Drosophila melanogaster: one gene and its partners. The protein of the gene in region 1 interacts with the protein of each later gene in a pairwise test. Each region holds a gene or a part of one and is shown in the gene's direction. Other genes may lie near its edges.

Region 1 (4,434 bases):
ATCGCAGGTCCTATTGATTTTTTAAGGTATTAAGCATGATCCAGCCGGCAGATGGGGCCCTCCTCCACCATCTTTAGATCCACTTTGGGTCCGACCAAATCGCGAATGTTGTTGATGCCGTACTTGATCATGGTGGGTCGCTCCAGCGACAGACCCCAGGCGATTACATTCACGTTCTCCGGCAGTCCCATGGGCAGCAGCATCTCCGGCCGGAAGACGCCCGAGTTGCCCACCTCGATCCACTTGGCCAGGCCGGGGTGATAGCAGAAGATCTCCATGCTGGGCTCGGTGTACGGATTGTACGCCGGCTTGAATTCAAGCTGCGTGATGCCCAGCTTTCTGAAGAACTCGTACAGCGTGCCAATGAGATCGCCCAGCGTCAGACCAACATCTGCAATCACGCCCTCCACCTGATGGAACTCCGCCAGATGTGTGGCGTCCAGTGTTTCGTTGCGGAACACCTTGTCGATGCTGAAGTACTTGGCTGCTTTGAAGCCGCCCTCCTGGTTGGCCAGCTTGTACAGCATCCTCGCACTCACGGCCGTCGTATGCGTGCGCAGTAGATTCTTCTGCGCCTCCTCCAGCTTCCAGTCGTAGCCGTAACCCTTCGATCCATAGCCACCCACAGAGTGCACCTTCTTCACGCGCTCCAGATAGTCCTGCGGAAACTTGTGGCTTTTGGCCGGATGATTCACGAAGAAGGTGTCGTGGGCATCGCGAGCTGGATGCTGTTGCGGCTGATAGAGCGCATCGAAGTTCCAGAATGACGATTCCACATAGTTGTTCGTAGGCATCTCTGAGAAGCCCATCTCGAGGAATATCTGCCGGAACTCAGTGCGCACTTTGAGCAAGGGATGGAGATGTCCACGCGTTGGTGGTGCACCCAACGCATCAAAGTTATAGGCCTTGAACTTGAGCTGGTCCCACAATCCATTTGCGAGCATTTCCACCGTGAGATCCGTCTCCAACTTGGTGAGAGTGGTGGCAAATTCAGGGCCGCGTGCCAGCACGAAGCTCTTGGTGGTCGTTTCCTGGAGGAGCTTGCGTTTCTTGAAGTCGGCCACCTCCTTGGCAGGCAGCTGGTCACCCTTTCCCAGCGCCACCTGCTGCAGTTGATTGCGCACCACATCCGTAATGGTGTCCACCTTGCGGCGCACCAGCGGCGGCGTGACGCTCTTGTCCACCAAAATCCAGCCGTGCGACATGGCTTTGCTAAAGCCCACTTTGGCATTTGCGCCACCGGCTGCCATTAGAGCCGCCTGGGCGATTCCCTCCGGCGGAACTAGGTCGTAGACCAGTGCCTCATGACTGCCATTCTCCACGACGGCGCGACCCTCGTCTGTGAGGCCCAAACTCTTGTGGGTGACCGTTTCCGCGGTGACTAGTTCGCCATGCGCCTGTATGCTCTTCAATGAGCCCACAATCTTCTGGTGATCCTCGGCAAAGAGTGCGGCCAGGTCCAGTGTGTCCGCCTTGTCGGTGGTCTCCAAATGCTGGAGAATGCGCTCCGTGAGATCGGGATGCATAGCTGGCGGTTCAATGGTTGTATCTTTCAAGGAAATTCGGAATTTCAATACCGGAATCTCGTGTTGCCACAACGCAGCCTATCGGAGCTATCGTTCTTCGATAACTGCGTCTATCGTTCGAAACGACGACGGTGGCTAAAAAATAGCCAATAAGCTTAAAATAGCTATAATTATATCTAGATATTGGAAATTTGTATAAATATTTCAGCGAATAGTAAGATATGATACTTTTGTCACTAACATTTCAAAAGTAAATGAAATAATAATAAAGATGTCTCATATAAAGAACTGGTTTCAACTCGGTTTATTTTTCCGCTTACCATCACAGTGGCACCTCCAATAAAAACAGCTGTTGACGCCAAGACTAAAAGTTTGCGTTCCAATTAGAACGGCGAATATATTCGAAAAAAGGAGCAAATCCTGGGGAGCAACGGCCAGGTGGGAGCCGCAATCATGCTCAAGTCCCTCAAGCCGGACACGTACGCCGGAATGGCGAACGCCAAGTGCGGCGAGATCTACTTCCAGAGCCTGCACAGCTTCCGCATCGACTGTGCGTTCTGCGAGATGAAGAGCTTTGTGTTCGGAGACTTCCTGCTCCACGTCCAGAACATTCACTTCGAGAACGGCCTGCTGAAGACGGAGGCAACGGACGCCGGTGCGAATCTCAAGCAGGAGCGGGATCGTGAGCGGGAGCCTAACTCGCCGGTGCCCATTGTGGCGCAGGTGAATCCATTTGCCTGGTACGAGATTGGTGGCGATCACAACGAGGACAGCGACGATGAGCGCGTTGTCCTGGAAAAGCAGGATGAGGACGAAGATGAGCGGCCAGGCAGAAGCATAATCAAGTGGCAGGACCATCAGTCGCTGACCAGCGAATCTCTACGTCAAGTCCGAGCCCTCAAGGTGGACTACAAGGAGGAAGACTCCGAGCAGGAGGAGTGCGGCATGGAGCTGGATCTGGACAGCGAAGGCAGGCACTCTGCCAAGATTCCGCACTCGTGTCCGCACTGCACAAAAGTTTACCAGAGCCGCAAGGTCCTCGAACGCCACATAATGCGCCAGCACAAAGACACTCTCTCGCCGGATGTGGACAGCGAGGACGCGGACTACGAGCCGCCCAAGGATGCGCCCGTCAAGTCCGCTGCCCAGGAGTACAAGTGCGAGCACTGCGGCAAGATCTACCATGGCAAATACAGTCTGCGTCAGCATTTAAAGCGGGATCATGACAACGGCGAGGAAGGAGGCTCCGCCATCTTCACCTGCCTGGAATGCGAGGCCCAATTGCCGCGCCTGCGCCTGCTGGACGAGCACATGGTGCAGGCGCATGGCGGCGCTGCCTGTGTGGTTTGCGGGCGGCGCTACAAGACGCGACACGAACTGAAACGCCACCAGCTCAAGCACACCAGCGAACGGAACGTGCCCTGCCCGCATCCCGGCTGCGGCAAGCGCTTCTTCACCATCCGTCATATGCGCAATCACGGCAAGGTGCACACGGAGCAAAAGAACTTCGTCTGCGAGAGCTGCGGCTACAGCTGCCGGAACAAGGAGACGCTGCGCGTCCACATCAGGAGCCACACGGGCGAACGGCCGTTCGGGTGTCAAGTGTGCGACAAAAGATTCCCCTCCCATTCCGGCCTGCGAGAGCACATGGCCATGCATTCCACGGAGCGACCGCATGTGTGCAGCGTTTGCGGTGCGACCTTCTCCCGACAGAAAGGCCTCTACCACCACAAGTTCCTGCACGCGGACACCAAGCAGTTCGTGTGCAAGCTGTGCGGGAATGCCTATGCCCAGGCCGCCGGTCTCGCTGGACATATGCGCAAGCACCGGAACGACGAGCTCAACGGATAGGATCCGGATCACCGAGGTCGTAGTCTAAGTTGTACGTTTTGTATCTTCCAATTCCGACGTTTAAGTTCAGGAACTCAGGCATAGGCTATATATAGGATTACCATAGAAATCAATGGTTTTTTGCATTGCTCCGGCATGGAGCGGGTATCATGTGACTCTTCGGTCCTCGTTTCACGGGTTTCCATCGAATTTATTTGACACGCACTGTAAATAATATCCCTAGTTTTAGATAAACTGAAAGTTTGTTAATCTGTTTCGAGTGAACTTAGTTTGAGGCAAATTTAATTGGCTCGATTGTAAGTACTAAGACTAAACTACATTTCCATGAATTTTCTAAACTACCAACTCAAATAATAACTAAACTTTGTTAAGGTTTAAACTATACATTAAGCACACAATGCTTCCAAGAACCAAATCGAACGCCGTAATCTCGGCAACCGGATGTGGCTAGTATTCGAATGGTTAACTTTTTTGTATTGATAAATATACATAACATGAATTTGATTCGCAAAAGAGAGCCCGCGTTTAAAATTAGCCAAGCGATTTGGTACCTTTGACAGCAATTAATCGGTCGACTGCTGCTAAAGCGGCCAAATGCCAAGATGGTATTGGATGGGGTGCGTCTAACAATAGTGCCGACGATTAGATTTGGCACACGCGGACCGACCATGTCGGCGGAACGTCCAGCTGCCAGCTCCGATAATCGGCGACTTATGTGCGAGTTCTGCGGCTATCGGACGCGCATCTATTGGAATCTGCAGATCCATCGTCGGCGACACACCGGCGAAATGCCCTTCAGTTGCCAGCAATGCCAGGCGCGTTTCCCGGCCAGCTATCAGCTGAAAAGCCACTTGGAGCGGCACTTGGACGCCGGCGAGCGACGCCAGCGGCACATTTGCACCGACTGCAACGTGGGTTTCTCCAGTTCGCGGGCCCTGTACCATCACCGGACGCTCCACGAGGATGGGAAGCGCTTCAAGTGCTCCCAGTGCGACAAGTCGTTCGCTCAGGCGGCGGGCTACGCCCAACACAAGCGGATTCACCGCCAGAGGAACCA
Region 2 (4,433 bases), on another chromosome or scaffold:
TTGGGGCCCTGCACATACTGTTCAAAGTTGGTCAGCACATTGGCGATGCCCTCGTGAATCTCACCGGCGCCATCCACCTCCTCTGTAGCGCCAACGACCTGGAGTCAAGCAATTTAGTAACTTCAGTGGTATAATGATTGACCAGAAGATAACACACCACTTCGGAAGCAGGACTTCCGTGTGCGGGATTCGGCCCAGTCAAGTTTGCGCCCAACGCACTTGATCTCGAACAGTTGGGGCTAACCTTTTTGCCACGTCGCGATATGGTGAAGTGCAGAGGATCGTTGCCCTCGCGCCTGATCATCTCCGGTAGAATGCGGCGACGGGCATTGATGAACCAGTTGCACACTTGGAGCACCGTCAGATTGGCCTCCTGGGACAGGGTGAACTTCTCCGCATCGCTCGGATAGGCGTTATAGCGGTGCTCATAAAGCCAACGCTTTAAAATCTTTACAGAGGTCTTGGGAAGATTTCCACGACGTTTGCGCAGCGACCCATTTATGTCGATGTGGTGTTCACTGTCCACCATCATGTCGTGGTAGTTTTGCACCTGGTTGGCGCCGTGTTCGGTGCTCTGATCCTCCTCCACGATGACGTCAGCGTGAAGAGAATCCTGGTCCAAACTTGAGTCCGAGTGGAAACGGCCGCGTCCTGCAGATGACATGCAAAAAAAACGGGCATGAACAAGACCGAACTCGACCGAAATATAGCAAACTCACCTTCGTTCTCCAGCAGGCTCGCCTGGACATGAGCCTCGTGCATCATGTCCTGGATATTCTGCCGTACATGGCGATCCAGGACCATGTTGACCTCTTCTTGTTCCGGCGAGATCATTGCAGCTCAGACTTAAGCTTCAGAAAACAGAAAATTCATTAAAACACAACCAGAAACGGTATGCAAATATTGAAAGGAAAAGAACAGAACTTTAATTACAATTTTTTTTTTTTTACAAACAGAGAAACCTGTCACTTTTTAGTTTCTTTAGGTGTTGTCACCACAGACTTTGAGATTCAACTAACTTTTTCTGAGGGCAGGCGTCATTCAGACACCAAAGTCATGGCCAACTAAGGTTCAAATACGCATTTCAAATCGATTTTTGATTTCTTTCCAATCGGTCTACTTGCTAAATCGATTAATTTCCAAGGAACTATACATTAAACGAACGTATTACAGTAGTGAATTAAGTAAAGAAGAAATTTAAAAATATTTAAAACAAATTAAGTTGGGGCTATCTATCGATAACTATCGCACTGGCACACGAGAGACCATGACATATAACATGTCAAATTGACACTTTAACCAAAATATTTTGACAAATTCACTGCGCGCCCAAATAACGGGCGTCTTGAGCTCCCGGGGATTCACCTGCGATGTCCGAATGGGTGCCACTATCATTTATTTACACTAAACACTGGTTTTCCCAGTGTTTCAGCCAGGCCCCGGTTACTGCACTCAGCAAACTGTAGTGACGGGGCAGTCGTCACAACCGTAGTATCGAGGCCAATTAGACAAACTCTTTTTGCAGACAACGTAAATATAGTAACGAACGTTGGGGAAAGCTATTTTGGCACTGGTTTTAAAGCGTTTTATTCCTTTTCCTTGCTGCGTGCCAAACAACAAATTAGTGGCGAAAGAAATCCGATAGCCGCTTATGTGCGATAAATCATGGATGGGGGTCCACTGGGGAGTTAGTTCAGTTGGCAGGTTCATTTGAAATTTGAACAGTGGCGCCAAGAATAAATACAAGTTTTGTTAAGTATAATTTGTTTAAGAATTATAAACATACACTAGTTATCTCTACGCTGGAAATTAAATCTACATTTAAAATAAATAAGTTATATTTAGAATGTACATAATTTTTTCTAAATAGAACAAACTATTTTTTTTATAAGTTTTCAACCTTTCAAGCTTAAGATTTATGTTTTAAATGTCTTTTTCGATAACTATATAAATTATCGATATGTATAGACGTTACTGTCCTAACCTATCGACGACTGAAAAGGTTTGTTTTGTTGCAAGTTTATAAACAAACAATGGAATGCGTGCTGGACGAGGAGCTGCTGGCCAATATTAAATGTAGCGACCAGGAGGAAGAAGACGAGGATGGTGAAAAGATGGAGGTGGAGGAGCGGCTGCCGCCGGTCGATTCCACAGTCCAAAGTGCCTCCTTTAACGGAGATGACTCCGATCCGCTACAGGAAGCAGTATGCAATTTTCCCTGGATTTTCGAGGACAGCGACATGCTGATGAACGAGGACCAACTGGCTGACGTGGTGCTGAAGAAGGAGGATTCCGCCAGGCCAGCTGCCCCGAAGCGAGGACGTGGTCGTCCACCAAATAATAACGGAAACTACACATCTCCTTGTGGGCAGCTATGGAGCGTGACCAGGAGCCCAGATATTTCTGCAGAGGATCTACCCCTTTTGGGGCAACAGGCCTGTGGCAAGGGACCCGCCCGAACAGTGTCCAATGCAGTGGAAGCATGGATGCTGCTCTTCGATGATGAAATGCTGCGGTCTTTACTTCGCCATATCAATGAACAGATGCGTAAGCGGAGAACGGCCACAAGTGTCCAGAGACCCCTAGACGTTGTGGAGCTGCGGGCATTCTTGGGTCTAAGCTACCTTTGTGGAGTGTTCCGAAATGCCAGGCACAATGGGCCATTGGATGAGCTGTGGACCCTGGAGCTGGGCAATGCCATATTCCGAGCATCCATGTCGCTCGCTCGATTCGAAAGCATTTCCGAGTGTCTGGCGGGAAATTGCGGCTGGTCCGAGGGCCAAAAGCTCTGGCAGCGCCTTATAATCAATTGCAGATCCTACTACGGCTGCAGCAGTTGGTTGACCGTGGATGAGACATTCTGCGCGGTGGCCAAGTCACGGATGACCCTCTGCTGTGATGCCAGGACACTGTACATGGCCAATGCAGTGGTAAGCAGAAACCAGAGATGTCCGGACAAGGATGTAGAACAACTGATCTGCGATTTCAAGACCACGGGAAGAAATGTAACGCTGGGATCACGGTATCTAAACTTGACGCAGTGCGAGCAGTTGGCGCAGCGGCAAATAAGCTCGTTGGGTAAGCTGGAGGCCAATTCGCCACATTGGCCGCGGCAGTGGCCCACAGAATCACCCTTGTTTGGTGGCAGCTCAAAACTCATTCCGCTCGATGGCGACGCAGTCTTCTGCTGCGGTCTTAGCTCCCAAGTAGATGCAGTCCAGGCATATGAGCAAACCTCAGAAGCCTGTCAGCAGTTTTACGAACACTCCCAGCGCTTCAGCACAGCCCACGCTACGCCCGCACCCTTGAAAAAGCAGATCAATCCTTTTCTGCAACTACTTCACTTTGTGCTCAACGCGGCTGCCGTGAATGCATGGATCCTGTTACGACTTTCGCCCAAAGGCGATGCCGCTATGGATCAGCGCGACTTCCAGAGACAGTTGGGACTCTTCCTCACACAGCAGAGATTACAGCGACGCCTTCAGCGAAGATCCACCAGCACTTCGCTCGTGATGCGACTGCAAATCTGCGAAATCCTGGGCCAATCCAGTCAGCGGCTGCTCAGTGAGGCGACCGGCGAGGCGAAACTAACGCACAGCGTAGGCGTGCTAACACCCGACAAGATGAGCCTGCCCTTGGGCATTAATTTGGCTAGTCGGTACGGAGAGAAGCATCGCAGGTGCAAGCCCTGCGCTCGAAATAAGCGTGGCACTAAATCGCGGACGCGGTGCCAACAGTGCTTGCAACATCGATGCGGCAACCACTTGATATCCCGCTGCTACGAATGCGTCGGCATTTTGCCTGGCCAACTGCCCGAGGGCAACATGGTGGATGAAGGAGCCACCTGAAGATGGATATTAAATAACATTTATTGAAGAGACACTACATTCCTTGTGGGGGCTTGCAATATGGGGATGCTTGCAATATTGCTCAATGGTGCAAACACTTGTGCTGTAACTACGATGACAACGGCTTAACGATGGAAACTGGGGACTAGAACTTGTACTGGAAGGACTTGGGTGCCTTGTACTTGCTGGCCATTCCCGAAGAGTCCACAGGATCGCTCTGGTCGAGGAACAGACTGAGGAACTGTTCGTTCTGCAGCTCATTTAGCGGCATCTCTAATTCACTGCAGGATTTGACAATCTCAGCGCAGGCTCGCAGATCCTTGCGCATATCTAAAAACGAAACGGGAGTTACATAATATTCGGTTGTGTTGCACAGACTCACATTGATAGTTAAAGAGCAAGCTGAGGCAGCTGGAGCAGGCCAAACGCTGCTGGTGCTGCAAGAACGCCTCGATTAGCCGATGCACCGCATCAACATTGTTACGGGCCAGAAATGAAGAGCACAAAGAACTGGCTCTGCAAGGAAGGTTACATTGGGATTCAAATTTCGGGTTTTTAAAGAAATTAAAGCGACTTACCTCCTCT
Region 3 (4,931 bases), on another chromosome or scaffold:
ACACTTAAGAGATCCCCCAAATGGCAGACACACTCCCCGGCACGTAGACCCCATTCGGATGGAAAAAAGAACGCCATTTTCTTTTGGGTTCGCTAGATAACAGTAGATACCGCGAAAACGGTCCCCCTTTTGATATCGGAAAGTCGAAAGTCTAATTTCGGTTGCCCTAATAATTGAAATACGACCTGGTAGATACCCGCAGCGCTGGGCCAGAAATAGACAGCCTGTCATCAATATAAAAGTCGGGGATTTGGCCAAGGGACACAAAGGACATTGTGTAATTACGCCATCGTAAAACAGAAATTCCCCGGGGTGCTGAAAGTCGGACCTTGCACCACAGGTGGAGAACCCTTTATCATCATATTGTACTGCATCATCGTCACTCAGGTGAAATTCTCCCCTCTGAGTGGGTGGATCGCTGGAGTACCAGCCAGCCCTTCTAACATTGTGCCACATTTACGTAACTGGGCAAATGTGTGACGGCGAGTTCAAAGGCGGTAAACTCGAGAAGGTCTGAGCAACTCGAGTGGCTTTAGTATTTCGAGGGCCTCCTCTCAGCGCGATTATCATTTCAAGTCTATCTGCAATCTGGGTTATGCCAGTCGCACGTTCTGAGAGGTGGCAGTAATCAACAAAAACATCACACCATGGATTGCCAAAATGAAATATATCCTACAAATATATACAATTATTAAATATATATAAGTGGGTTAGATATTATGAAGCACGTTTAACATGACAGACTGATTCCCATTCTCTACTTCATCTTGTCGAATTGATTTATTTTGTTACTATGGAATGCAGTAAACTTCCTGAGATCTCCAGAGGTCATGAGTTATGACTCGCATGGCCATTGGAAATTATGTCTGATTAGTTCCGTGGCATGTCAGTTGCGGAATACGAGGCTATAAAGCCAGCATCATTTACATCAGTCGGCTGTCTCCCGGACCATTTCCTTCAGCTTCCCCCTTTCGACCCAGCTAAACCCATTCTTCCACTCAAGGAGGAGGATAAAACCTAAGGGAAAGGCAGGCAAATGCGAAATAAAAACGAAAATTATGAACTGCACAAAAGCTGTTGTGAATATTAATAAATTCTGCCTGCTGCTTGTTTCTGTTTCTGTTTCAGTTTCAGCTTCCTTTGAAAGTATCGCTGTCTCTGTGGCTGTATTTCTGTGCTGGCAGAGCGAACAAATCAAAAAGGGGAAAGTCCCAGGGAGGAGATACAGATACAAATACAAACGCAAGGATACGTCAAAAGGAGCAGTTATTTATTTATTTGCGAGGGGCGGTCGGGGGGTTAAACTGGCACAGGCACAGGCACAACAATGGCGGGCTAACGCAGAATAATGGGATAACAAAACGCCCTTGACACCCAGTAAAAGACAGCCAGCCCTCAAAAGTGGGCAAAGTAGCCTTATTATTATGAACACAGCACGTAGCAATTGTCCAGGGGCGGAGGGCAGGGCTCTGCCAGGGGTCCTCAAAGGGGGAGAACGGAACAAAGGACCAAACCAGAGCCAAACCCGAAAGTACAAATCAAACCCTCGAGAGCGGCCAAATAATGTACGGATGAAGAGCGAGAGGGAGAGTGGGCGAGAGAGGGAGAGCACAGCAATGGCGCACTGCAAACACCAGGGTCTGAGTGAGAGAGAGCGAGAGAGTGCCGACTTTGGGGGTGTGTCTTCCACGCACTCGAATGATCGGACCTCCCTTTCGCACTGCCGCTGCACAGGCAGCTCTCGCTACTCGTCGGCCAGAAGACCATCTCCCTCACACCCTCTCGCCGGTGCACGGGCAGAAAAGAGAGATAAGATAGCGGGCAATACACGGGGCTCTTGCGTTCGAAAGGCGAAATTCCGGGGTATTGCGTTCAGTAGCCGCGAGTTCTCGTCGCCAGCACCACGTTTACCGTTAGCACTGGCCCAACCACCCCGCACAACCCCACCAGCCAGATACTCGCTGCATGCGCTGTACAGTGTACACGCATCCAACAGATACTTTTCCGAATTCGTTTTCAATCCAGCTACGTCCTGTTACGGATGCAGACGCGTCGCCTCCGTTGTGATACCAGATACATGTAATTGCAGGTCTAGAGCTACAGATTTAGATACAGAGATTCGAGTACCCTAGCAGATACTTAGCCTAATTACGCCGTGGATTAAACTATTAAACACTTAAATCCGCCAGGATTTGCCTATCAAATCAAATCGAATCGAAATCATATCACTGAGAGTGCCGCGAGTGACTGTGTGCGCGAGTGTGTGTTTCTGTGAAGCGGCAGCGAGATTAAAAACATATCCCCGAGTTACTTAAAATTAATCACTAACATAATCACTGTGATTTTTATTATTTGATCTGCCGACGTCAACACCGCGTGTGCGAAAACTGTTTAACGGCTGGGGCTTTATTAAATGCCGCTTCGCATTTGATTAGCAATCTGTTGCAACAACACAGCACAAACCTACCGATCTCCCCGAGATTTATAGCCCACTGCCCACGCGATATATCCGGAAGATTTTCGGAGACTTTCCCAGATCTCCGGCATTAGAAATGCTGGCCATCTGATTTATTGACGGACCCACGACATTTGCTCCATCAAAGTTCGCCTTTGATATTCGGGATCGACAGAACCAGAGAACCGACGGAAGTTCGTTCCCACCACCTAGTGGATTAATTTTAATTCCTCTCCCATCATTCAGAGGTGAGTCGCAGTCGCATAAAGTTAATCATAACTTAAAACTTGTTACACTGACCTCAGTGATTCTTGAGTTGCTAACGCACGAAGCAAGAAATTATAAATCAAATTTGATTTAGAAATTCAAAGATTTTAGAAATTGAATTATATAGGGATCTTTTAAAAACGAAAGTTATTATCAGCAACAACGATGTGTTAGGTCATAATAGCCAACAGAAGTTTTCCGGTAAACACCTGGCTAGGAACTTAAGCGCCCCTTAATAGCAATGTCAATTCAGCTGATGCTAGGAAAACAGCCTAGCTTTCCAGCGAGGATCAGCAGAGGTTCCCATTGAGGGCCCAGAGCAAGCCCATAAACGGCTTGTTGGACAACGAATTAAGTTTACGGCGGACTCTCACGCCGCGCATAAATCACGGCGGAGTGAGACTCGGATCCGGATTGCCGCCATAAACAGAGATCTCGGCCATTCCGTAAGGGGGCCTCTGGGCTTCTGGGCCAGTACTGTGGGTTTTGCCAAAAAAATTGGAGGAGAGCCCGGCCAAGCGGCGCTGGCTCATTGACGTCACCTGAACAATTAGCAAACAAGATGTGGAAAAAACCTAAGTACACAATGCTCGGACTCGGATCTCCGGGCAGCCGCTAAACTCGAATTTGAATAAAATAATAAAATTAAATAGAAATGAAAGCATGTGGAAAGCCTTGGCACAACATCGGAATCTTGGCACCTTCGCGACGAAGAGGCCGTAAACACACGAGATCTCGCGGCCATAAAGTGGCATAAAATAATTCTGGCATTCTTTGTCTTAGGGAATCATTATGTAAATAAATTCTCACTTTTGAAATAAAATGACGAGGCAGAAAAGCCAAAAGCTGAAAAACACACAAGAAATGGAGCGGAGAATATTCTTTGGCGAAATGGAATGGAAACAATGGCAAACTGGCAACCGAATTATTTATTAGACGCTGCGGCAGATAATTTAGCCAGAAATTGAGACAACTGCGGCAAAGACAGAGCAAATAACAGTATTATAAATATCCCCATCACGGCAATAAATGCAGAACTTTTCATTTCAACGGCTGACCCCCCCCCCCCACCCACACACACACCAACTAACCAATCGTGTGGCCCATAAATTGGCTTGAAGTGAAATTATGTTTATCACGAAAGGCTGCCTATTATTATTGCTGTTGAACAACCGCAAATGGATTTAACATTACAGCCGCACTAATCCACTGGGGATCAAGTGGAGATCAAGCGGCATTATCAGCGAAATCGAAAGTGACAGCTCAAGCCAAGGCATTCCAATTAAATTTAATTAAATTCACTTAAACACACAACTGCGAATTTATGCTGCCGCTAGATTTATGAAATTCGTTCTCGTTTCGAATGCCTTTGAATGCCTTTAGTTTGTTGTGATTGAGATTAGATAACCATTTATTGCAACGTTTCGTTTCGTTTAGTTTGGTTTCGTTAGCTCAGATAGCGGACCGCATATATAACGTATATGTACATATATGTATATGCCCATTCCCGCCCGATATCGGGCAAAGGGGCCTAGGAACCTGGAGAGGTGTTCCCTCCCTTTTTGCTAATTGATTTACGATCGTTTATGGCTATTTTCGTGCTACTGTCAGTGGGCTGTTTTTATTTTTAACGAATTTATTGGACGCCCATGGCACAGTTTATCGCACTACTGACTGTCAGTGCGGCGCTCTACTACTTCTTCGAGCTTTCCCCAATTTCGATTGCCAAAATCCAAAGGCGCCCAGTGTACGTGCAATCATAACAATAATAATAGCGGAGAAATGCTCGCAGAAATGAAAATATTTTACATCGATAAGGCTGTTATCACCTGGCCCCCGCCATCTCCGCTCCAACAGTCTGCTGATAGCAGTGTAGGCGGTTCGGGGGTGCGGTGGTGCGGTGGCTCGGTGGTGCTGTTGTCAGCCCATATGCCCCACCAGATCCCCTCAGGTGCGCTCCGCCAGCCATACGATTTACGACGCCAACTGAAAGAGTCCCAGTTTACCACTCCGTTTGCCGCCGGCTCCAGCATCCGTGGTATTAACCCCTTGACGTGTTTGGTGTTAACTTGCCATTCGGCTGGTGTTTGGGTTAAGCTCCCTGTTTGCCTTCGCCGTTGAGGCGATAAAAGGTTCCACCAGTTGATTTGCCTACCAGGTAGCCAGCCAAGCGATAATTATGTCTGAGTAGCAATGAACCCGATATGAC

The links.
Region 2: the proteins of CG2129 (region 1) and CG13151 interact in a two-hybrid assay, tested with the Drosophila melanogaster proteins (one large-scale study listed by BioGRID).
Region 3: the proteins of CG2129 (region 1) and Ptx1 interact in a two-hybrid assay, tested with the Drosophila melanogaster proteins (one large-scale study listed by BioGRID).

Annotation. Positions count from the first base shown.
Region 1 is NC_004354.4:8,143,970-8,148,403, forward strand, and holds CG2129 (uncharacterized protein), read left to right. Parts: upstream 1-1,869; 5' UTR 1,870-1,979; coding exon 1,980-3,377; 3' UTR 3,378-3,886; downstream 3,887-4,434. Other genes in the region: alpha-PheRS (Phenylalanyl-tRNA synthetase, alpha-subunit), read right to left, coding at 30-1,526; CG15336 (uncharacterized protein), read left to right, coding at 4,046-4,434.
Region 2 is NT_033778.4:12,513,411-12,517,843, forward strand, and holds CG13151 (uncharacterized protein), read left to right. Parts: upstream 1-1,964; 5' UTR 1,965-2,033; coding exon 2,034-3,848; 3' UTR 3,849-3,874; downstream 3,875-4,433. Other genes in the region: achi (achintya), read right to left, coding at 1-98, 158-651, 720-834; CG8818 (uncharacterized protein), read right to left, coding at 3,994-4,178, 4,231-4,364, 4,427-4,433.
Region 3 is NT_033777.3:30,910,882-30,915,812, forward strand, and holds the start of Ptx1 (Ptx1), read left to right. Parts: upstream 1-1,872; 5' UTR 1,873-2,703; intron 2,704-4,931. UniProt on the Drosophila melanogaster protein: Appears to control physiological cell functions rather than pattern formation during embryogenesis.